4 linked regions of the Schizosaccharomyces pombe genome follow. The gene in region 1 interacts genetically with each later gene. Each region holds a gene or a part of one and is shown on either strand. Other genes may lie near its edges.

The links.
Region 2: mutations in atp15 (region 1) and plb3 together harm fitness more than expected from each alone (negative genetic interaction), as found in Schizosaccharomyces pombe (one large-scale study listed by BioGRID).
Region 3: mutations in atp15 (region 1) and wwm3 together harm fitness more than expected from each alone (negative genetic interaction), as found in Schizosaccharomyces pombe (one large-scale study listed by BioGRID).
Region 4: mutations in atp15 (region 1) and gmh2 together harm fitness more than expected from each alone (negative genetic interaction), as found in Schizosaccharomyces pombe (one large-scale study listed by BioGRID).

The regions. Positions count from the first base shown.
Region 1 is NC_003423.3:3,781,867-3,786,843, forward strand, and holds atp15 (F0-ATPase epsilon subunit Atp15), read right to left. Parts: upstream 2,637-4,977; 5' UTR 2,597-2,636; coding exon 2,568-2,596; intron 2,496-2,567; coding exon 2,321-2,495; 3' UTR 1,990-2,320; downstream 1-1,989. Other genes in the region: histone chaperone Hip3, read right to left, coding at 1-804; bch1 (ChAPs family protein), read left to right, coding at 3,982-4,013, 4,063-4,189, 4,335-4,977. UniProt on the Schizosaccharomyces pombe protein: Mitochondrial membrane ATP synthase (F(1)F(0) ATP synthase or Complex V) produces ATP from ADP in the presence of a proton gradient across the membrane which is generated by electron transport complexes of the respiratory chain.
Region 2 is NC_003424.3:1,068,641-1,075,510, forward strand, and holds plb3 (lysophospholipase Plb3), read right to left. Parts: upstream 3,723-6,870; 5' UTR 3,488-3,722; coding exon 1,499-3,487; 3' UTR 1,283-1,498; downstream 1-1,282. Other genes in the region: wdr55 (WD repeat-containing protein), read left to right, coding at 91-1,176; SPOM_SPAC1A6.11 (uncharacterized protein), read left to right, coding at 4,894-5,214; plb1 (lysophospholipase 1), read right to left, coding at 6,137-6,870.
Region 3 is NC_003423.3:199,337-205,350, reverse strand, and holds wwm3 (protein wwm3), read right to left. Parts: upstream 3,071-6,014; 5' UTR 2,816-3,070; coding exon 2,384-2,815; 3' UTR 1,728-2,383; downstream 1-1,727. Other genes in the region: protein wwm2, read right to left, coding at 1-702.
Region 4 is NC_003424.3:164,961-171,716, forward strand, and holds gmh2 (alpha-1,2-galactosyltransferase Gmh2), read right to left. Parts: upstream 5,096-6,756; 5' UTR 4,891-5,095; coding exon 3,850-4,890; 3' UTR 2,806-3,849; downstream 1-2,805. Other genes in the region: alpha-1,2-galactosyltransferase Gmh1, read left to right, coding at 1-757; alpha-1,3-galactosyltransferase Otg1, read right to left, coding at 1,460-2,575; ATP-dependent chromatin remodeller/ubiquitin-protein ligase E3 Rad8, read right to left, coding at 6,012-6,756.

The sequences.
Region 1 (4,977 bases):
ACGAGTCGGGGTTTTTTTTTCATTTATCTGTAATGCATATAGAACAAGATCTAAAAAACCATGAAGAGTGTCATGAGATAGTTGAAGTTTTTTTATTTTCGGGCATAAGTTTATGGACCTTCGATGAAATGAAGGAGTGGGTAATTGAGGAAAAAAAGAAGGCAAAGTATAAAGAGAACTAATCGACAAATCCAATTGCGGTAAGGGTTCTGCTATACCGCCTAACTTTTTTAACAAATTGTATAGGTTTTGTAGAGAGATAAGCTTCCCAGGATTTAAATCATCAATATTCGTAAATACTCTCTCCGCGTCAAAGGGTTCGTAGCCGGTATAAAATGATGACTCTAAAGCAAATCTTTGAATTCTTGGCATTTCCAATTTTTCAGCTAACTCGGCAACAAAAGACCAAAGTTCTATGTCATTGTAATCGCAAGCCAATGCAATAGCAAAATCGAGCAGGGCGTCCCGATACACAGGGATGGGATCGGTTGAAGGATCTAAGGATAATAAAGATTGTAGCTTTGACAGCAAAAACAAACCATGATTTTTTCTAGTGAGGTAATGTAGTAGCAATAAAGCATTATTTTTTTTATAATTAGAATTAACGGTAAAAGGGAGTTCGCGAAGAATTCGAACATTCAATAGCTCATCGTAATACTTTGTAGCAGCATTGTCATCTCCCTGCTTCTGGGCTGAAAGTGCATTTTGATATATTTGAACAGCTTCTTCAATTCGGATTTCTAAAGTGCGTTTTTCCTTATCCAGATCTTCACTGGCCGCATTTAGAGGAGTAAACGTTGCCATAACCTTAATATGAGACTTCCAAATTGATCACTGTATAAAACTGTAACCAGAAATTGAAAAAAGTATGTAGATAAGATGTTAAAGTTGTAGATAAAGGAAGCGATGTATTACAAAAAGCGTCAAACAACTGTGGTTTTCAATACTATACTCCGCAAAAGCATTGAGCAATAAGCCTGCATTGGAAGATCAAGCTATTGAGCGTCCTAAATTCAGATTTCAGCTCTCTACACACCTTCAAAAAGCAAAGATAATTAAAATAAGTGCTAATAACAAAAAAAAAATTAAAAACTCCCAACGCAAACAAAACCTCAGGAAATCAATCAGTGCGTTTACAGATGTTTATATTAAGTCATAAAATCGGTATGAATTCACTAATTCCCAAGGCAATTTAAGGCTGGTTCTTTAATGTTTTGATGCACTGAACAAACTTTTGAACTTGGGTGACGACTACTTTTTTAAGTAGGAACAGATTATGAATTGCAATCAAAAGCAAACTTTTATAGTTTTAAGGGATGTTTATCATAAGGATATTGTTTTGTAACTCTTCTCTTACTACAGACTTTATCAAAGTAGTTTAGTAATTTCTTTGATGTCGTTAAGAAAGCGTAAGTGGTGACTTTTGTCTTTGCTGTGTAACGTATTTAGTTCGTGGTTTTCAAAAAGAAGAGTGTGTTGATTTTCTGCATCGTTAATACCGCACGTTGCCTTCGACTACAAACGCCAACATAGACAGGTGCAGACAGGTCTCAAACACGTCTTTAGTGGCATATCTAGAGACCCAAGTAGTCACTAAATAGCGAAGTTAAACGATACACTATATCCTTGCAAGAAGAGAAAGAGTACAAGGCATCAAGTGGAGTTTGTTTTGAATGTAATGCGATTTCGTATGTATACCCTGTTTCTTTCATTCGGGCTCTAAAATTGTATTCATACAATTAAAAATTTTTTAATGGGTGAGTTTGCATGATTGTTTGAAAACAGTAGAACAAGCAATTTTGTTCGACGTTGAAGCCATTTTTTAGAAACTAGATAACGATACAAACAATTAAGAACATAGTATTGTAGTAAGTTTACTGTGTAATGCGACTATAAATGATCTCGGTAGTAGCAAAAACAAAAACTACGTTAATGAATGATATTAGTGACAAAACTCACTTACTTCTAAATTAGCTACATCTCATTATAGTAAAATCAACAATTTTTGGTTTTGAGACAAAGGCCGATTATAGATTTGATCGAAAATACAGAGCAACCACAATGATTTGAAGTGCCATTCTCAACAGTTTTAAGAAAACAGAGCAAACTACCTTGTTCTATTAAACTTCATCATTAAAAAAAGTAATAAAAATTTATTGAAAGGATCAGTTAGTAATTCAACGTTAAGTCGAATATAGTAATCATTATAAGAGATTGTAAACCATCAGTGATATCTGTTGAAATGAGTGAAACATCAAATGAAGCTGAAATATTACCAATGGGTAATGAAGGACAAAAAATTCGTTTGTAGCCTTTATTTTCATTCCTTATCAGCAGACTTTGCCGAATTGTAAGACTCCGTTTTTTCCTGAGCGCCATTTTTCCATCGAGTATAAAGGAACTCTGCATCACCATGAGTTTTAACCTCGTTTTTAATTTCCGGTTTTAAGGCTTGACGAACAGTTTGGGAACAAATAGAAGCATATTTGCTATAACTACAAATATTCATTCATTAGTAAAACTATCAGGGTATATTTAATGTTCACATTCAAGAAATGAATCCATACCTAAAGTTTTTCTTCCAAGCAAAAGCCATTTTCTCAATGAATTGCTAAATCGTACAGAGATGGGGGAACGGTAACTTAAAATCCATGACACTCTCTTGAAACCCCGTTCGGTAAGGGTCGGACACATTTATTGAGTTCAATATGTACATTCGTTAATCTAACATTGGTAACGTGCTTTTCTTAGTAAAATATAGCGCAGTTTGATTAAAATGACTTTGGTGATGCTAACGATTCATCGCTATACAGATTGCCTTTTTATTAATCAACACTATTCAGTAAATAAATATTCAAAAGGCCGTATTAATTTGAATTGACAAATGAATATATACCTCTCATCAGTCAAAAGGCTGGTTATTTTCGCTACTAACCATAATTTATTAGAAGGACAAAGCGGTACCAAAGCCTTAATTGTTTACTAGCTGGGCAAGTGAAAGTAATTCAATACATTCGCAAGAAAACTGAACTTAAGCACTGTTACGTTTCTCACTTTGTTTAATCTTAACACTTATCGTAGTTAATTTAAAAATGTCAGTTAAAACAAGCAATGTATACTAGCACTCTCCATTGATTGTATTTAGTCAAATTAGCTTTCTTGATGAGCGTTAACATGAATGGCTTAAGCATAAATTTCGATTCTTTCTTTGTAGAATTTTGCACTATTAAATAACGTATTCGCACATGTTATTTGGTTTTAGGATATTTTAAACAAACAATGGTTCATTGCAAGAGACATCTATCAAAATGTATGGCTAGATGAAACAAAAAATTTCTTGTCAAGGAGATATATAATGCAAAAATCAATAACTCCTGATTCTACTTTTAGACGTTTCATTAAAGGTTCGTTAAAGATTTCGAAATTCGGAAAAAAATTCACAGCAACTTACATTCGCAATTGCTTGGAAGTATTGTATTAATTTATCATATGCTTACCAGCGTATTGTGCGAGTTTTTTAAAGCTAACATTGTGCGTATGACTGGTCTAACTTTTAGTGGAAACTAACATAAAGCTGTTCTTTTTTTTAATACTAATTGCGTTGGATTCCGCACCAACAAGAAATTTTTATTTCAATTGTATTAATCAATGAGTTGTAATCTTAAGAAAAAATTATCGCTACACTATTCGTTGGGTACTACTTTTGACTTCCCTAAATCATCAATTGTCAGGATGAATGAAGATACAAATCAAAATGTATAATATTCAATTATTTTTTGGTTTTCAAATACACTAAATGCATAATTTAATGATATTTATTTATTCTTTATATATAAGGAAATTGTGGACGATTGCCTAATTGTCGCTTGCTACACTTCGTTACAGCAAGTCAGGCTGCGGCTACACCATAACCTCTTAACTGGAACCAGCCACGAGGCCGAATTGAACGCTGCTTTGCATATTAATTCCAATTTATGATATATGAGTGATTCATTCTTTAAGGATATACCAGAGTAAGTTCCTTAAATATAATTGAGCTGAAGTTCTAAACAATGACGATAGGTTTTTAGAAACTCGTGTAAACGAGTCATTAGATGCGCGTTCTAAATCCATCGCACAATTTAAAGAACTCGGGCCTCCTGATCAGGTCAATACTATAAAAGTTAATGCAAAAAATCCATCAAAAGAGGTATGTCACTTTTTAAAGCAGCGAAAGCTGTAGTGTTAATGATGTTGGAGATTAGTGGGGAAAGGATCAAGACAAGTCTCTCTTTACCAAACTTTTCACTCCTATTGAAACGTTAACGTTTTACGTATTATTAACCTCGTCAAAGGTTGGAACTTATCACTTTGTATCTGGAGTTGATGCTTCTTCCTCAGCTTCACTAGCGGCATATTTAAATACGCTTTCCTATTCTCTTGATAAAAGTCAACAATGGTTTGGGAAGGGAAACGCTTGGCGTGTTAGTCACGGAGTTTACTGTTGCTACAATGTCTTCTCTCAAGTTGATGTTCGTGTGGAAGCTAAAATTCCTGGAGGTGTTGACACATATGCTATTGATGAGAATGGGCAAAAGCATATTGTCGATGCTCGTATGTGGACAGAAGCATATATGTCTGAAGTCCTTCGTTCGTTACTTTATTCTGATGATACAAATTCTCGCTTTGCAGGACATCGTCGTTTTAACCCCATTCCAAATCCTGATGCAGAATTAAGATTTTTTGAGGCTGCCGAACAGCTTTTTACGTTAGGTTATACTCTAGGGTCTTCTTCTGAAGTTCGGGTACCTACGCATGTAAATAATCATTTGGTTCGTGGAATTTTCGCTTACTTGAAGCAAACCTGCCGCTACAGTGCTGCTCTAAATCTTTTTGAAAAGCTCCGGGTGTCAATTCCAGAGGTATCGGTTTTGCTTGCTGAACTATACTTACTAATGGACCATGAAGTGCATGCTGTTCGTATCTTGCATGATTCAT
Region 2 (6,870 bases), on another chromosome or scaffold:
TCTAGGGTATGCAAATTTGCTACAGGGCAATGGGTGCTGAGAGGTGGATTGCCCAGCTCTAATCACAGCCTACTTGTCCTAAACAACCTAATGGGTGGAACAATAAATGCTGCTATAAAACAAAAATTTGAAAATGAAATATTCGACTTAGCTTGTTTCGGTGAAAATCAAGTGTTACTGGGTTTTTCAAACGGCAGAGTTAGTAGCTATCAATATGATGTCGCACAAATAAGTTTGGTCGAGCAATGGAGTACCAAAAGACATAAAAAAAGCTGCAGAAATATTTCAGTAAATGAATCAGGTACCGAATTCATTTCTGTAGGTTCAGATGGTGTTTTAAAAATCGCCGATACCTCAACGGGGAGAGTGAGTTCAAAATGGATAGTGGATAAGAATAAGGAGATTTCTCCTTATAGTGTGGTTCAATGGATTGAGAATGATATGGTCTTTGCTACAGGTGATGATAATGGTTGTGTTTCTGTTTGGGATAAGCGCACCGAGGGAGGCATTATCCATACCCATAATGATCATATTGACTATATATCTTCTATTAGCCCATTTGAAGAACGATACTTCGTTGCTACTAGTGGTGATGGAGTTTTGTCAGTAATCGATGCTCGTAATTTCAAAAAACCAATATTGAGTGAAGAACAAGACGAAGAAATGACCTGTGGAGCTTTTACACGGGATCAGCATTCAAAAAAGAAATTTGCTGTTGGTACTGCCAGTGGAGTTATAACTTTATTTACAAAGGGTGATTGGGGGGATCATACCGATCGCATTTTATCGCCAATTCGGTCCCATGATTTTTCAATAGAAACAATAACTCGTGCTGATTCTGACAGTCTGTATGTTGGCGGAAGCGACGGATGTATACGTTTGTTACACATTCTTCCAAACAAATACGAAAGAATTATAGGGCAACACTCTTCGCGATCAACCGTAGACGCTGTGGATGTTACTACCGAAGGCAATTTTTTAGTTTCCTGTAGTGGAACCGAACTAGCTTTCTGGCCGGTTGATCAGAAGGAAGGAGATGAGTCATCCTCCTCTGATAATTTAGATAGTGATGAAGATTCCAGCAGCGACTCTGAATTCTCGAGTCCTAAGAAAAAGAAAAAGGTGGGAAATCAAGGGAAAAAGCCTTTAGGAACTGACTTTTTTGACGGTTTATAATTCAAAACAGCTTTGATATCTATAAAATTGCACAATCATTATTAAAATTAATTGTCTGTATATTTAAAAATAAAAGCGATCTTCCTAAATTAACTAAACTAAACATCTTCATTAGAGAAAAGAAACATTGTGCTTCGAAAACTTAAAATGAATTCACTAACACTAACACTAAAACTACAAAACCTTTGAACCCCACAAGTTTGGTAGTGATTAATACCTTACAATTAATAAATAAAAGCCTGACTCAGTCTATGCTTTTTAATTCTTTCAAGTCGAAAAGTGACTCATACCAAGGTGTGTGAGTGGGGGAGGCTTTCGTCGTCTATAATAGTAACGAAACTGTTAGAAGCGAAGCAAATAAATAAAATACTATAGGTTTGGCTCGTACAGAAGAGGTACCAGAAGTGGTTGATGCAGATAACACAGTAGGAGCATAGTTTGAAACGGCACTAGGGTTGTTCACGGTTGTTCCATTCCAGCAGTATTGTTCAAAACAAGAAGAGCATTGACTAGGAGTAGACATATTTTTGCGCTCCAAGGAACGTTGTATCATGGCGCATGCCAAACAGACTGCAAATGAATCGCTGTTGTTTTGAGTAGCCGATAGAGCAGCATTTTCAAGAATGCCACTGGACAAAGTGTCATTCATAGACATGGTAAACGTGGAAATATTGGAATAGTAAACCCAAGGATAATTGGGGAAATAAACAAGAAGAGGAGGTGTATTGTTATCTACGGTATGATTACCTGCAGTAGTGTTTCTGCCGTCACATCCAAAGAATGTTGGATGAGTGTTCAGTCCCAAGGAAATGATTGTGTCCTCATCAGGGATATACGGGAAACCTCGAACATCAACACTTTTATTGGCGTTATAAGTTATAATCCTTTCATATGTAGTAACAATAGAAGAGCCATCAGGCCAACCATTAGAATCATCATAAGTTGCGTCAACAGCAAATATAACGTCAACAAATCTTTGAGGATGTAACAAAGGCCAAATAGGAATGTTCTCATCGTCTTCACCACCATCTACTAAATCAATAGTATCGAATCGCTCAAAAGGGTTTTTGACGGTGGTGTTTGTAGTCGTGAAATTCTGATAAGGATTGGGGTAAGGAGCGATGTCATTTTGATCCTCAGAAAGTTTTTCAAATACTTTATGAATAATATCATAGAGAGTACTATTTGACGTTACTTCCTGACTCCATTCTAACAGAAACGTGTTGAACAATGTAGCTGAAGTACCCATAACAAAACCGGCATTATCATAGTTACGAATGCACTTATGGTCTGGTGGAACACCATTCTTTAAATGGGTACCGACGTATTCCATAGGGAGAAAAGCTTTAATACCATTGTCCCAAGTACCAAACTCGTATGGAGTAAATTCGAATATACTGGTGTTGGCAGGGATAGCTTTTTCCTCTTCCAAACGACTGTCAGATATAATGATGGGATAAGGATAGTCGGCATTTTGGAACCAAGTTTGGTTTCTAATGCTAGAAAATGTGATATTTGGACCACCTTGGGTAGCATCGACAAGCTTACGAGATAAAGCGCGTCCCCAAAGATCGGTCAAAGAAGTATCGAATCCTGCATCTTTCTTTTGATCAATCTCATCATCCAGGTCGTCATAATAAGCAAGATTTTCGACAACATTGTCACCATGAGGAGCAAAGACACTATGTTCCAAATTCCAAACGTTGTCACGTAGATAAGTAATATTGGCAAAGTTATTAACAGCTACGGAACCGACCAGCCATGAACCACCAGAAAGACCAGCGATATACATGGCGGATTGAAGAATTCCAGCAAGTGAAGAACCATTGCCATTTCGAGAATCGAAAGCATTTAAAACACCTCCTCCGTGGACCATAGCGCGGAGTCCACCGCCAGAAAATGCAAGTCCTAAACGAGGGCCATCTGAATCATTAATCACAGAGTTTACATCTACGTCCAAACCAGTGTTGGAAATAAAGGACCTCATTTGTGTATTGATTTTGGGGATACGTTTATCAATGAAACTTTGCTCGCCTGAACTTATTCCGTCAGAAGCAGGTCGTAGCATATAGTCACTAGGACAAGTTACATTATAAGGCGCGTATGATCCAACACTGTCGCGCTTGGAAAGCGAAATCGCCAAAGCCTCTCGTTTTTGCATTAATGAAAGAGGCGTGTCATGCATGCCCGGTCTCATTAAGTCAGATTCCCCAAACTCATACGGATCCGACATTTGCTCGCGACAAGGCGGGTACGCCAAGGCCGGCAGGATCTGGAGCAGAGCGAGTATTCCAAAACAATTAAATAACATTGTCTTTTTTTTTTATAGTTAAACCGTCTTTAGGTCAATAAATTTGGGAAATTATGCCAAAATCTACACACCGCTTTGCTTGAACTCAGAGATTAGAAGGCCGTTACAAAAACGCGCTCAAAACAAACGATGGAATCAACGACTGTCTCTCTAGACCCACAAAAGTTTAGAAAATTGACTATACCCTCAAACAATTTTCTTGTGAACGAAAACAACACAACAACGGAATATTTGTAAACGGATGGTGAAACAAATTAAACCAAAAGCGCCCTACTACGTAAAAATTTTAAAACTCCTTATAGCTGAAATTCACCCGTATTCCAACGCAGCTCTTACTGTATCACTGTATCTGCTTACCGTGCTGTTATTTCTGCTCCGGTATATGAGGATCTGATTATTGTAATTTGTGTCTAAATAAATGACAAGTTAGTATCCAAAGTTATTGATTTTTATTAAAAAGCATAGCGTCTCAATGTTAAGATAAACACTGGATTTTGCTCTTGAATTTGGCGAAACGCTTGACAATTCCATGGTTTATAAAATTTTCTGTTTGCGGTATTGCGGAATCAAATGCGAAACCATTTACCATTTCTGTTCATCGGCAAACGTCGCATCGTAACCGAAAACCTGGGATTCATCTGCTTTATGTTTCATACAAATGACTTGCAGTTTTGCAATTTCATTCAACAAATTCATGAATTCCTATTCTTTTTCTTTTATTCCAATTAAATACAAGCTCATGCCTAGTCTCCAAGCAAATCCCCCCTTACACTTTCTTACCCTAAAAGTTAGTAGTAGCTAAAGTAGCGACTTGTGCGATAATTTTAATATTGGGAAAAGGCAAGTTGAAAGTGATTCAGCCTATATATATATGTATATATATGTAAGCAGAGACACATATGTCTATCTTTGACAGATTTTTTAGATTCCCATTTTGTAGATCAAAAAAGGTCCATTTACATCCCCATGATGTAAATGCCCTTCCGTTCTATGCGAAAAGAGACCGAGACTGTCGGTCCTTTAAATATCGCTTAATATGTAAAGTTGTTGTGTAAATCTATATTTTGAGCAGTCGCTGAGACGCAAGCCTTTACGTTGAATTTGTTGCTCATCTTCTGGTCAACTATGACTGCTTTAAAGTTCACATTGGGATGAATGTTGCTAAGCTATATATCTAAAATCCTTAACGACGGAAACATTTGCAGGTTAAGTATAGGAGAATGTAGCGTTCAACCGGGCTGGTTATTTCAACTGCGCCGCCCTCGGATATTAAGTGTGCCTCTTCGAAACCGGACCTTTCTAAGGAACTTGCAGATTGTCCTTGACTATTATTTAACACACATTACTGGCATCAAATTAGTCGCATTACATTACAACTGGCCGCATTTTACATAATTGATTAAAATATGAATCACAATGTTTATTTATTAACTTCCTTCAATCTTTGGAGTCATGGTGTATATAAAATATCATCAATCTCTCTCAGTAACTCTTTTTTTCCTCATAGTTTCATGTTTGTAAAGTCGCTACATCTAATGACATCACAACATATCTTCAAGTGTCTTTCTTCTTGTAATTATGCTCTTTCAATTCTACATAATATATGTTTAGCCAGTTTTCTTTATTTATCAAAATGTTATTATCATACACACATACTTACTTCTGTTCGATTAGATTTTTGTAAATCGCATGCGCATACCTATATCAAAAGCAAAGCCTCAACTTAAAGTTAACTCGGATCCCATTTCGTTTAGACTTAAAGCATAAAATGCACACTTGCTAAATAATTTTGCAAAACACGTAACTCACAGTCATCGGATTAGAAAGTAAAGCCCGAGGCCGAGCAAAACCCGCGCAACTACTACAATTTTTTTCTCCCATTACTCGTTGTGATGTATTCTATACTGTCTCATCTACATCCCCACTACTTCATTGATTAAATTGCGTACAGTTGATATAATTTGTAAATGATCGTATAATCTGTTTTACGTTAACTAAATTTTTTCATTTCTACATCTCCTTCCTCATCCTAATTAATGAATTATAGGCTGTATGTTAAAGTTCACTATTCCTTGTTCAAGTATAGCAAACCTTTAAAAATCAAATTTTATCATACAAAATATATACATATAAATAATAATTTTTTGAATCAAACAAAACAAAAAAATTACAGTCAACTTATTTATATAGACAAACAACATTCTTATTACAACCAAGAATTAAAAAAATGACTTATTTTCGCAACTATATATAACAGCAACTCTCATAAACAACTAGAACACGTCCAATTTGGAGCCGTCAACAAAACTGAATTACAGCAAACGAAAGCTCACAATAGAAAATGAACAAAAAACATTCCGAAGAGAGGGTAAATTAGAATAAAATACTTTCGGAAGATAACAAAATAGTCTCCCTAATTAGAGCGGAGTGAACGTTCAGTTTAATAATCCGTTAACAAAAACCCATATCGCGTAATTGGATTGATTCACATATATGGCTAGGTTTGATTTATGCTAAGACAGCAGACATTGTATAGATTTTTTTTAAAAACTTTTTTCCAGGCATAAGCATTGCCCTCTATCTTTTGCTTGTGAGCAACAGATATGTCGTATAAATACTGAAGAGAGAAAAGTTTGCATGCGCCTTTCCTTAAATGCCTTCACCAAGACGGCAAGTAGGATTGTAGACAATATCATCATTAGCAGCGCTGTCATCATAAAGACCGCTCCAGCAGTAGTTATAGTAGCATTGTTGGCACTCGGGGCTAGCAGTGATGTTGTTACGCTCCAAAGTACGCTTAACAACGGCACAGGCAAAACATTGACCAAAGTAGGTGTCATTGTCAACGGTAGAGGAAATAAGGCCGTTGGTAAGAAGTTGTTGAATCATGTCTTCAGTGTAGTAGGTGCGATCAGTGGAAATGTTAGTGAAGTAGTTGTAAGGAACGTTGGGAAGATAGATAACCAAAGGAGGAGTGTCACGGGTAACAGTGTGGTTACCAGCAGTGGTGTTACGACCATCACAACCAAAGAAGACAGGGCGATCGTTGAAGTGAAGACTGACAAAGGATTGTTGGCTAGGAACGTAGGGGAAACCCTTAACATTGGTGTTTCCGGCAGCTTGGGCAGCAACGACACGCTCATAAGTTTGGACAAGAGAGTTACCGTTGGGCCAGAGCCATTCACTGTCATCACCATTGTCAACGGCAACGATAACATCGACATCACGACCCTTTTGCAACAAAGGCCACAAAGGAATCTTCTCACCAGTAAGGAAGGTATCAACTAAGTTAAGGGAAGAGCTGGAACCCAAGTTGTTGGCAGCATCAGAATTAGCACTCTCAACACCTTGGAAGGGGTTGGGAATGGAGATGATTTGTTGAC
Region 3 (6,014 bases), 3.6 Mb from region 1:
CTCAAAACCTCCAGGGCCGCCTCCAAAGCCACCGTGACCACCATGATGATGGCCTTCACCTCCAAAGCCTCCAAAGCCTCCAAATCCACCAGGACCAGGAGGAGGACCGCCAGAACCACCACCAAAACCTCCGAAACCACCACCGTTATGACCACGATGGTGAAAGAGATTGCCAAGTGCGTGTGAAGCCAGGCCACCTAAGGCCAATCCACCTAACCCTGCAGCGACAGGAGCAACGTAGCTTGGTCTACTGTAAGAGTTGCCAGTGGTGTAGCCATTAGAAGAGGTAAGCCCACTGAACAGCCCTTTATCACTACCATCTGCATTGGTAGTGGTAGTGGCAGCAGCATTAGGATAGTATGCAGCATTGGTATTGGCAGGGGCATTGGGGTTATATGCAGCGCTGGTAGTAGCGGCAGCATTGGTAGTCGTGGCAGTGTTAGCATTGGCATTTGCAGCAGTATTAGCATTGTATGCAGCATTCGTATTCGCAGCAGAAGTATTGTTATTGTTATTATACACAGCTGTATTAACGCTTGTGGCTCCTGGAGGAGGAGCAAGTTTCAGATTTTCGACTGGTGGTTCCCATTGGGGCTGTGGATTTTGAGCTGACTCGTTAACATAAAAGTATGTTCCATATTCAGCATCCCATTGAGCAACCCATCCACTGGGCAAACCTTCACGAGTTTGATAGACAGACATTTTTTATATGATTAATTCTGTAAAGACACAGAGTAAAAACCTATATAAACGATATAGAGGCTTAGAAAGATTCTAACCAAAGAAAAGAAAAATGTTATAGGCAGATATTCAAAAATCACTCTCTAAGATCTATATACTTAATTTTTCGAGTATTAAAGATAGAAAGTTTTGGTGGTAAGCTGTATCTGTTAGGGAAAAGGAGAAATCGCGCAGTGGTATAGAACGATTATAAAAGAAATGAAAATCTGATACGCTACAGATCATTACATAAGAGGCTGATGTAGTGGTAGTAGCATTATGCAAATTTCGTTATTTTACTATATCGTGATTGCCCCAAACCATAATTCGTCATTCCTAGTTTACGAATTTACGAGTTCCATTAAAGTGGTATTAACGTGTTTTTAAAAGTACTTCACTAATTATCGAAAGCTGTTCATGGAAAATAGACTGCCAATTTGTTTTATTCAAACTCAGAATATCAGGGTTTCACTAATGCTGCTTGACTTGAAACATAGCTAATTGAAAAAGGAAAATTGCTCTTATTACCCTTTTTAATCGCCGGCTTTGCTTAAAAACAAACGGTTTTGCATTGCTATGAAAACCCTCGACATTCATTTGATAATTGCCAGGTACAAATTTACGTATCCTTACTGAATAATCGTAATATGAACAAATAAATGTTGTACCGTAGATAATATTTCTTAATTTTGAAATATATTAACTTTTCTTATTTCATTATGTGTATCCAAGAGCCAAGTTATATTTCTCTTATTTTAAACAGCTTGATAAATACAGGTTTTAAACGATTCAAATGATATCTGTTTGTCTTTTAAAATAGTGGTATGACATCCCATAAGTGTAAAAAAAATTTTTTTTCTTTCTGCCTTAATTTTTTCGGAATTGTGCATTTAATCCAAAACCAAACAAATATCTGAGTTTGCCAATTATATAGTCAGTAATACACCACTATAAACTATTCAACTAAAATACCCAAAAAAAAAGGACAACTAGTAATGAAAAAACAATGATAATAATAAATGAAAGATATATAATTGACTATTTTAAATCATGCATAATAAACTAATTTAACGTCTGAAAAAACAACCATTGATTTTTTAAAAGTTTCAAAAATTGTGCTTCACCCAATTTTTTACAATTAACCAAAAAAAAATATAAATAAATAAGTAAATACACGTCGAAGTGATAAATGCCAAAAAAATGATTCCATCGACAACCAACTCCGTCGATATTCACACCCATTATAATATATGCTCCTTACTTCTTTGGTATTAAACAGAAATTTTATAAATTAGACCGTTTTCCTCGAAATCCCAATAAAGAATGCAATGGTACAATAAATAAGGAAGCTTGAAACAAGTAAAGATCAGATGATAACAAAATTAATATAAGTAAACAAGAAATTAGGTCAAAGAACGACTAACAGAATATAACAATTTTAGAACGATTAGCAAAAATAGTATGAAATTTCAAGGGAATAAAAAGAACTTCACTGGATATCGTGTTTTCCATTTAACAATTTCGAAAGAGTCGTATACGTGAATTTGGTGATTCTATTCAAAGGAGAAAGTGATGTTCTCAAAAAAAAAGAGCGATTCCATAATCAACGACCATAGTATGTAGGACGAAATCGGAACCAAATTTAAATAAAAATCAACGCTTTTCATCTGCGGCCACGTCCACCACGTCCACCCATGCGTCCACCACCGCGGCCGCCGAAACCACCGTGAGGACCATGAAGTGGGCCATGATGGCCACCACCGATTCTTGGACCAAACAAAGGGCCTCTGGGAGGAGGAGGGGCGTAGTAAGCACGGTGACCACGAAGAACACTGCCGGCTAAAGCTCCAACCATGAAACCTCCTAATCCAGCCGTCATAGACCGTGAGCCGTCAGAAGAGCGAGGCACGTCCTTTTGATAGACGACGGTAGTGGTACCGGGAGGAGGAGGAATATGCAAGCCTGGAATAGGAGGCTCCCACTGTGGTTGAGCACCTTCAAACGTTTCATTAATGTAAAAGTAAGCTTGATAAGTTGGATCCCATTGGGCGACCCAACCAGCTGGCAAGCCCTTGTAAGTTTGATAAACAGACATCTTTCGATAAAGTAATTAATGAGAAACTGTAACTTAGAAAAAAAGAAGTAGTGAGAAGTAGAGTATGTCTGTTAAGAATTATTAATAGACAGGCACAAATGTCAAAAGAAAAAAAGAATTAGCAGCGAAGTAGAAACGGTATGTATAACAAGAAAGAATTTATGATCTCGTTATAGTAAGAATGAAGAAAAGATTAGAATAACGAATGCTTTGAAAATGAAGCAAGTAAAAAAAATGATTGATTGAAATTAGATTGACGAAAAGGTGAGGAAAACTCGCAAATAAATAAAGCTTTGCATTAGGACATAGCCGACGGACAATACGTCACTTTTGTGGGGAAATGATGAGTTATTGCGTAGTTGTAGTGTGGAAGCGAGTGCGATTTGAACTCTTTTTCTTCCATCGGAATAGAAAACATATGAGCGGGGCCGAAAGCTGCCGCAATCTATTTTGCGATTGTGTACCCGATATCCTAACAGCAAAGCAGTGAATTGGAAGATGAATTTACTACAATATCTGTAGTGTCTTTTAGTTACATTCAGAAAAGAAATTGATACGAAAATGTGCACGCTAAAAGCTCAAACCCATGTATACTTATGATCTTCCAATTGTACAAATTATTGCTATTTTCGCTAGTCTATAGATCGATCAGCCATTGACGTCAGCGCTCGTTTAGTATTTGAAAACAAACGCCAAGTTAGGTGTTTGTTTATTAATGTGTTTCTTTGGGTATATGAGTGTATGAAAATTCGACTCAAGCTCCTGTTAACACTTGATCTTTCTTTTGAATCGCGAATAGCATTGACTCCGATATCTCGGTTCAATTTTTTTGAGTAAATAGTAAACGTACGTTTCATAAAACTAACTTTAACAAAAAATTATCTACTTAGTGAATTAGTTCTCACTTGGATAAATACTTGTTTTTGTCAAGCTTTTAGCATGGTCAATTGATATCAAAAGGAACTCACTCCAAAAAAAATCGACCCCACTTGGGTCCATGAACCTCTCTTGTCTTGCATCTCTCAAGGACTGGATGGATGTGGGGGTTCGGGGAATCAAGAGTTTTCAATGGAGTAAGTGCAATCAAATAAATCAAAGCGACAAAGGATTAGAGCGAGGAGACGAGAAAAGATGGAAATACAATGAGTAAATTCGTATTAAAATTGATATCGTTTTAACGAAGGAAAAGAGAAAGTTACTCTACGTAGGTTTGCAAAAAAAAAATATATAAATGTAGATGTAGATGTAAAATTAATGTTAATGAGAAATTTGAAATTAAGGAAGCATAAATAGTATGGAGACATTATAGTTAATATGGACGATGAGTTAAAAGGAATAATTGGTTTAAGTGAAGCTAAAGAAAAATAAAAATAAAAAAATAAAAAGATGTCATTTAATATTAAATTTAAAAAAGACAACACACACATAAGAACTATTCAATAAAATAAAATAAACACAGTACAATAAAATAAAATAAATAACGATCTAACGAAACAGGAAAAAAAAAAAAAAATAATATATTACAAACAAAAAACAATCTCAAAAAGCTATCTTATAATTTGAGTATCCTAACCATAATATTTATTAACTCATATGTAAGTTTATCTTGGTAGAAGCTTTACCTTTAAGAATTGACTTCATTCCTACTCGCATCGCATTTGTTGCTTCTATTTTAGAGATAAAAGCTCTTTTAATTGAACTTATGCTTTTACCAACACGGCACGTGAATCAAGTTAGAATAATAGTCTAAATGTCCACAAAGGGTGGTTTCTCGTTCTATGAATAAATATAGTAGTAGCTTAGTGAAAATTCCACGGGACATTAGTTTATATAAGAATAAAAGTGAATGTATGAAAATTACATGTGAAGAATAAATTTGTGGTAAAATACACGTCTTTTAAAATATAGCTAATAGCACACATATTTTGAAGCATGCTTTATATCCTGCTCTTTCAATGCAAGGTTATTATCCCATTCTGAAGCCACATACCATCAACCCACGAAAAATCTCGTTAAATAAACAACACCAAATTTCCTTATTGCTAATAGGAAGGGCGGGATGAAAACAATCAACCTCAAAAATTTCTCCCTCTCTTTAATTACCTGGATGACCAGTCATTATAGAACGAATTTATTTTCTCCACTTCTTTCTATATCTTAAGGTTCATTTCTCCTCCTACTAACTACTCCATCCACCCACCCACCTTTAGCACTTCCCAATCATCTACGTCACAAAGCATTAGTACTCATCATCGAATTTCACAATTTCTGATTTTCGTTGCTGCATTCCAGCACACTACACTGCGCCATTTAGCTGTATAAGCCATGTTATGTTGATTCTGAGTTAACACAGGTAAGAAGACACATAAAGCCCACTTTAAACTTGAACTTGTATTCGTGTGCTCTAAAACGTACAACACTATACCAAAGCAGCACGAGAAAACAAGTTCAAGTTTAAAGAGACATAATAACACCTACAGCTACACAATGGCGATCAATCATACACAATTGCTAGACATCAAATCATAGGCAATTGGGGTCGATCTTATGTAATTGCTGTGGGTATGCAATTGAGGTCGGTGATGAAAGCAGCGGTCATGCTCGCCTCTCAATCCTTTACGAATGTATTAAGGGAGTGCCATGCCATGCCATGCCATTTTCTCAGTCACGTAAACCTCGATACGATACAAGCTCTAACCTTCCCATCCCGTATTTACGTTTTTGCAGTATTATAGGAAAGATGAATAGGGTGGAATGAGTCCGCTCTAGCAATCGTTTGGTAAGCCGGCTTCGTTGAATTGCAGTATGTCATTTGTTTAGCAGGCTGAAACAGCATTGCCCTGTAGTTTTCATTGCAAGCCCCTCGTTTTTTGAAGATTAGGTTTATCGTGTATGCATTTTTAATTAAGCGGATCACTCAGGTGGGCGTATGAAATAGGGATTTGCCATAGTTGTCCATTCAACTAAAGATTAGATTGTTAAAAGGCTTATGATTCGCGGAACTAAACATAGCGAATACTTCATATGCTGGCAAAACGTTGTTTACATGGGAAATACATGGCGCTTCCATCATGGCTCGTTGATTTTTGTAAATATATAAATAGTGGCGGGCAGCAGTCAAGGTGAAACGTTTGTTAGGATTTTTTTTGTTTACACTGGAGAGAGACAACACAACTCATTATTAATTTTTTCATCTTCG
Region 4 (6,756 bases), on another chromosome or scaffold:
TCTCAATGAACCAAAATCACATGAAATAGTAATGCTTCTTGCTAGCGATGGAAACGTTGGAAGTTTTGAATCTAACTTACTAGATGATTGCTTTAAAAATCGTATAGAGTATGCGAAACTTCAAAACTACAATTTTGAATTCGTTAACGTTTCCAGTCTGGTAGTGCCACCTGTATGGGGAAAGATGCCCGCAATTCTACAAACAATGCGCAAGTATCCATCCGCAAAATGGATCTGGTGGCTAGATCAGGATGCTCTTATAATGAACAAAAATCTGTCCTTACAGGAATTATTTCTCTCACCTGCAATGCTCCAAAAATCATTGCTTAGGGAGCAACCAATTATAAACTCTTTCGGAGAAGATAATTTCAGAATCACTCCAGCGGCTTACTCCAAGGAAATGATAGAACAAATACAATTTCTAATTTCTCAGGATCATAACGGATTGAATGCAGGAAGCTTTTTAGTACGAAATTCAAGATCCATCGCTTTACTAATGGATTTATTGACTGATCCTTCTTTGGCAGATGCAGGAGTCGTGCGTCATGAACAAGATTTGATCGGCTATTTCATTCAAAAACACTCGCAGGTAGCTTCCATGGTTGGCATTCTTCCTCAAAGATTTATCAATGCTTTTCATGAAGGACCCCCTACAATGCAATGGCAAGAAGGAGATCTAGCTCTTCATTTCGCTGGATGTTGGGTTGAAAACAAATGCGCCGAGTTATGGACTAAATACAAAGATAAAATAATTTAAAAGGCTAAATCAATGCCCAAGTGTCGGCGCGTTATAGCCTCTAACATTTTCAATTGCATTTACAGTTAATTTATTATTACTATTTATCTTTTACTTCGTTATATTAATGCCGTCTTATTTAAACATAAATGATTCGCTCCATAAATAATTATGAAGCTGCACATTTTTACAAATCTAATTAATTTTCTTAAAAAAGAATAAATTCTATAAAATGCTTCAAAAACAACCCTCTAGACATAAAGTATCTTTTTCTAAAAAATATTAATGTCTAACACTAATTAAACTATCCTGTTTGGACCTCAGGCTAGTTTAAGCATCAAAAATTGCTAAACGCTTGTGATAATAATTAAAATTGGGGTTTGTTCATAAGGTCTAATGAGTCCATAATGAAGGAGAGATGAGAGGTATATTAAAATCAACCGCAAGTCCAAAATTATATTCTAAAAATAGGCTGACCGAAAGCAAATCACCGCTAACGGGATTTATAGACAGACGCAGGTAATAAAGTTGTATACATAGCCAGCAATCAAAGAAAGCTGAAGAGATCTAAACAATGTGCGTTTAGACAATAAGGATAGCAAGTCTAAAATAAAATTATGGTAATAAGTTAAAGAAATTTTCAAATATATAACATACAATTAGATTTTAACTTCTAATTGTAAAATAAGGTCACAATACAGAAAAAAGAAAGGTATTCCTCCTTTAATGAGTTTCATACTTATGAAAAGACAGCATTTCGCCATAAGCAGCATACCAGTCAGCTAAATATACTGGTGCAAATTCTGAGCTACCAATATTCCAGAATTTTCCGTGTGCTGTTTTTAAGAGAGGACGTTCGTCAATTGAGGGCCACACGCCATTGTAATAAGGATCAAGACGAGTCCAGGGAAACCATCCGTCCAAGGAAAATGCAAGATTCAACAAGCTTTGCTCCATCATTTTGGCATTCTCATACATATAAGGAAACCTTCCGATTTTAAGTATACGGTTAAAATGAAGCTCGCTTGGACGTATAAGCATTAAGCCAGCATTGAAATAAGGAGTATCTTCTGGAGGTATACTATGATGCTCTCCTCTATCAGAGACGGCTGCGAGAAGATAAGGGTAAAATTCGCTTCGACTGGCACCATATTCTTTAAAATCCTCATTGAAGTGATAGACGGTATCATCATCAGGCTTCGTGTAGGAAGGTAGCCGTGTATAGTTCAAGGTATTAATTTGTTGGTACATATAAGGAGTATCAAATATATCATCAATGTTCTTCATGATCAATATATCACTGTCAATTACGCAAATTTTGTCAAATTGTATTTGTTCGAAAATTCGCAACTTCGAAAACATTTGTTCATATCTAGCAGATATTTCTTGACTAAATGAGGATGTATCGTATACAATATCCGATGAAGCAATGGGGTCTATAACAATCACAGAAGCACCATCCTTTCGAAAACGTTCAATTTTCCACTCATCTACTCCACGGAGTGCAAGGATATGGATAGGGTATTTACTTTTGGTAGTAGGATGATATTTCAATCGGTGAATTAAAACCCTAGTAGCGTTGAAGTAGTAATCCTCTTCAGTAGAAGGCATAGTAAACAAACTCATATACGTATATTTGCCAGGCTCTTCTTTTAAGACGGCATTATCATTTTCCTCAACAAAGTTGTTTTTTAATGAAGTAAGCCGGTCATTAAGGGTTTGCTTATAATCGTGTCCGTTAAACACTAAGGTTGTCATCACAATAATCAAAACCACAGAAAACAACAGGAATTTGTAACGCGGAAGAGATAAAAAATTTGAAAGTGAAATTCGAGACATGATAAGAGATTAATTCAACGAACCGCTGAAACAATAGAATTTGAGACACGTGAAATTTTCGAAAGCCTTAAAAAAATGAAAAAAGGCTCTAAAGATGACTCCCTTTATGAGGATGTTACCCTCTAAAATTTATTTATTTCTTTTACCCTTAAACGACTTGCGTTAACAACCCTTTAAAGAAAAAATATCCGAGATTTATGTTTCATCACGCGGGTTGCTCTGCATTTGTCAATTTATTACCAGCACGTTGTTTGTACCATGTGCCGCGCTATATTCAGTTACAGTATTGTAATTCAAATTGTGGAATTGCCTTTTACAAATCCTAACGCTTTGTTTTTTCACAATCATCTTAGTTTGTGTGTAATGGTGTCAACTTTCGAGCTATCTGGATGTTGAAAATTATGAGCTTAAGCATGTAATAGAAATTGACACTAATGAATTAATTTGGTGAAGTTGTTTCAAACAGTGAAAAATCTGACTGTTAGCTGGAAAAGTATTGGAAATACCATTTAGCTTATTGGTAAAGTAAATATTGTGTAAATTTAACGAAATATATTTTGTCGATAAATCTATTCAAATATTCTTTCTCCTTGACCTGATAGACCTCATTAATCGGAAAATGCTTCTAGGTTTGTAAAGACACAAGTGTAAACAGTGGGTGCACAGACGTAATGGAACCACCGTTAAAAAATACATCTTTTAGACTTAGCAACTAATCTATATCTTTATAAGGCCAAAAGCCAGTGTAATCAATATAAAATAAGGACATACCAATACTTTGTAGGGCCAAAAAACAAGATAAATAAAAACTTAGTATAATCCGACACGAATGATTCAATAAAACTTCTATCAGCATTTAACAGAAAATGGCAGCTGCGGTGAAATGCAAATTATTAAAAAGATTTATTAACGCCAAACTGTTATTCCAATCTTCAATATTGCATTGGTAAATTGCCAAAGCAAATTAGTTGAACCAACAGAAACAGCTTCAAAGTCAATGTGAAATATATACAATATATAACAATTATTGATGGACGATTGTGTAAAACAAAACTCCCAGATATCTCGCTATAAAAAACTAACCTGAAACTTTGATTGCTATGGCACAACCGCTATATTAATTAGGTATGTAAAGATTAAAAAATAGTAAACATTATTAGAGATTCAGATAAAGAAAGGAAGATTGACGGAAAATTATACGGCGCTTTGTTTATATATATAAAATTTTTTAAAACACAAACAAATTAAACAGACGGATATAATGAATAAGCAACTTAGTCAATCAAGGCGTAAAACTTTTGCCATAGTTCATCGCAGCGGTTTTCAACCCAACATCCAGCAAAGTGAATTACCAAATCACCTTTTTGCCATTCCATATTTTCCGGACCTTCGTGAAAAGCATTTATTTTTCTTTGAGGAATAAGGCCAACCAGCGAAGCAAGTTGTGAATGCTTAGAAATCAAATATCCAAGCATGTCTTGTTCATTATTGGCTTTCGCACATTCTGCAACAACAGGATCTGTCCAAATATCCAAAAACAAGGCAGTAGCAGGTGAATTACGGAACAAGATACTACCTGCGTTTAATCCATTGTGATCCTGTGAGATTATGACCATGAGATTTTCGATATCTTTTAAACTATAATTACTTGGTGTATAACGCAAATCCCCGTTAGCATTTATAGGCCGTTTAGTGAGGATGGTATTAGTAATTAAGGTCTTTTGCAAGTTCTCAGGTTTCAAAAAGGAGTCTTGAAGGGAAAGATGGGTATTAGTAATAATTGCATCCTGATCCAACAACCAGATCCATTCCGCTTTGGGGTATTTCTTCATAGTTTGTAAGACGGCGGGCATCTTGGACCAAACGGCGGGAATAGGGAGGCCAGTAACATTGACATACTCAAAGTTGTAGTTTTGTTTGGTACTATAGTCAACTCTGTTCTGTATAGCTTCTTCAAACGTATTAGCTCCATTATTGTAAGAAGTGTGTCCATCACTAACTAGTAATAAGACAATATTTTGACTGGCAGGATTTTGCTGAGGCTCTGACTCGTATGACGCCTCGTGGAATGTAGTGCTTGTGGCCACCAAATGAGAGTCTAACGGCGCCAACTCAAACGAGTGATTAACGGATGGAGTGCCAATAGCATCGGAGAGCATGGGTGCAATTTGCTGATCATACAACTGGTTAACCTTCGACACCAAATCAACGTCCACAAAATATATCAACGAGTATAGAAACGCGCCAGCAATCAAGCCGACCGTTAAAAATAAGAAAAAAAAACGACGTGGAATCCTGGATAACATAAGTGCCATCTTTAGGTTATAACAATTCTTCAGTAAATCAATTAGAAATAATGAAACAATAACTGGAAAACTTTTTTTGAAAAAAAGGCTTTTCCGAAATCTTAAACAACCACTAAATCAGATTGTATTAAGGTCTTATCGAAACGACCTATAAAATAACGAACGAAATCTCGAGATATAAAAATAAATCAAAGGGTTAGAGGTATATGCTGATGGTAAAAAAAAGCTTCCTGATTGTCTTAATGAGGCTGAATACGCGTTAAGCTTCCTTTGACTAGCTATCGTTAATTTTTTAAAGGCTTTGTTAAATATTTTATTAACGTCGGCTCCTTTGCCGATGGTAGAGACAACCGTAACCTTGCCTAAATTTTTATAACCCAGCAACCGGCACGTTACTTGCTTATAAAACTTTCTACGGGTAGCTATTAGAAAAATGAAATTTATGGAATGAAAACTTAGCTAAAATATTCGGATTTAATTTTGTGTCACTGATTTCATCAAAATATCTTGACCTTATTAAACAACTACTTCGACTTTTCAACAAAGAGAGAGGCTGACCAATATAGTTGAATTATACACATCGCTTTCTTTCTGTGACCGGATTTCCATCACAATCGCTACTACTATTTAACAAGGTTAACAATAATAAAAAAATCGAATAAAAGTTAACAATTATACCTATCTCTAATATACTGAACAAAACATTAGCCAGCCTTTACACTGCAGCAGCTAAAACTTATATTCCCTTGCCCATGATACTCAGCAACAACATCATGAATACAAAAAAGTAAGTCATCCAAGGAAATTTATGAGTTCAAAAAATGGAATAAAGTATTACACATTCACTACTTTAGATTGTATAGCTCCAGGGTAAACTGTCGTTCCTTAATACTTTTGTTACTTATGCACCGAATTCGACTATTTCGCATTCATTAGTGATAGACGTGAATCAACAAATCCAAGGGGTGTAGATAGTTTATAATTTATCTTGTAACGCAGTTTGTTTATCACATACTCTCTTAGAATTTGACAGTCATGACAACGACCACGGTAGCAATTGCATTTCATATGCATAATATGAAAATACTTTTTTTTTACGATAGCTTTTAATCGGCTTGGTGAAACCGTTGTTAATATTCAAACAACATTTTGATGTCTTCAATTGACTGAACCTGCTGCTTTCCTTCCGACATGCCCAGGGTCCCAGTAATAAAATTTTTGCGTTCTTGTATTTTGAGCATCCTTTCCTCAACAGTATCACGTACAATATATCTCGTCACAAATACAGGCTTTTCCTGTCCTAAACGATGAATACGATCGATGGCCTGTGCTTCCACTGACCAGCTCCACCATGGATCCATAATAAAAACATGGTTGGCACAAGTAAGGTTTAAACCAACCCCGCCTGCCTTTAAAGAGATAATCAGCACGTTAACATCAGGATCATTTCGAAATGTCTCTAAAGCCGTCGACCTCATTTGTTGTGACATGGTACCATCGAATCTAGCATACCCCATCTTCTCTGACTCGAGAACGTCTGCGATAATATCCAGGAATGTGGTAAACTGTGAAAAGATAACGACCTTTTCAGGTTCAGAACTATGAGTTAATTGACGCAATTGTCCTAAAAGGCCATTAAGTTTCACTGATTGTAGCCTATTCCAATATTTCCATTTTACTTCCTCACCGACTAAAAGCGTAGACTGTGTTCCGTTATTTTTGACAAAAAAAGGTTTATAGACATCTTGCTCATTGAAGGGTTGACGACATGTATGACAAAGCGGAGGAATTATGTTTCTTCTTTTTTGATACTGAATATGTTCTGACAAACAATCTCCGCAACAAGCATGCTTGCAGTTCAATAACAAGGGATTT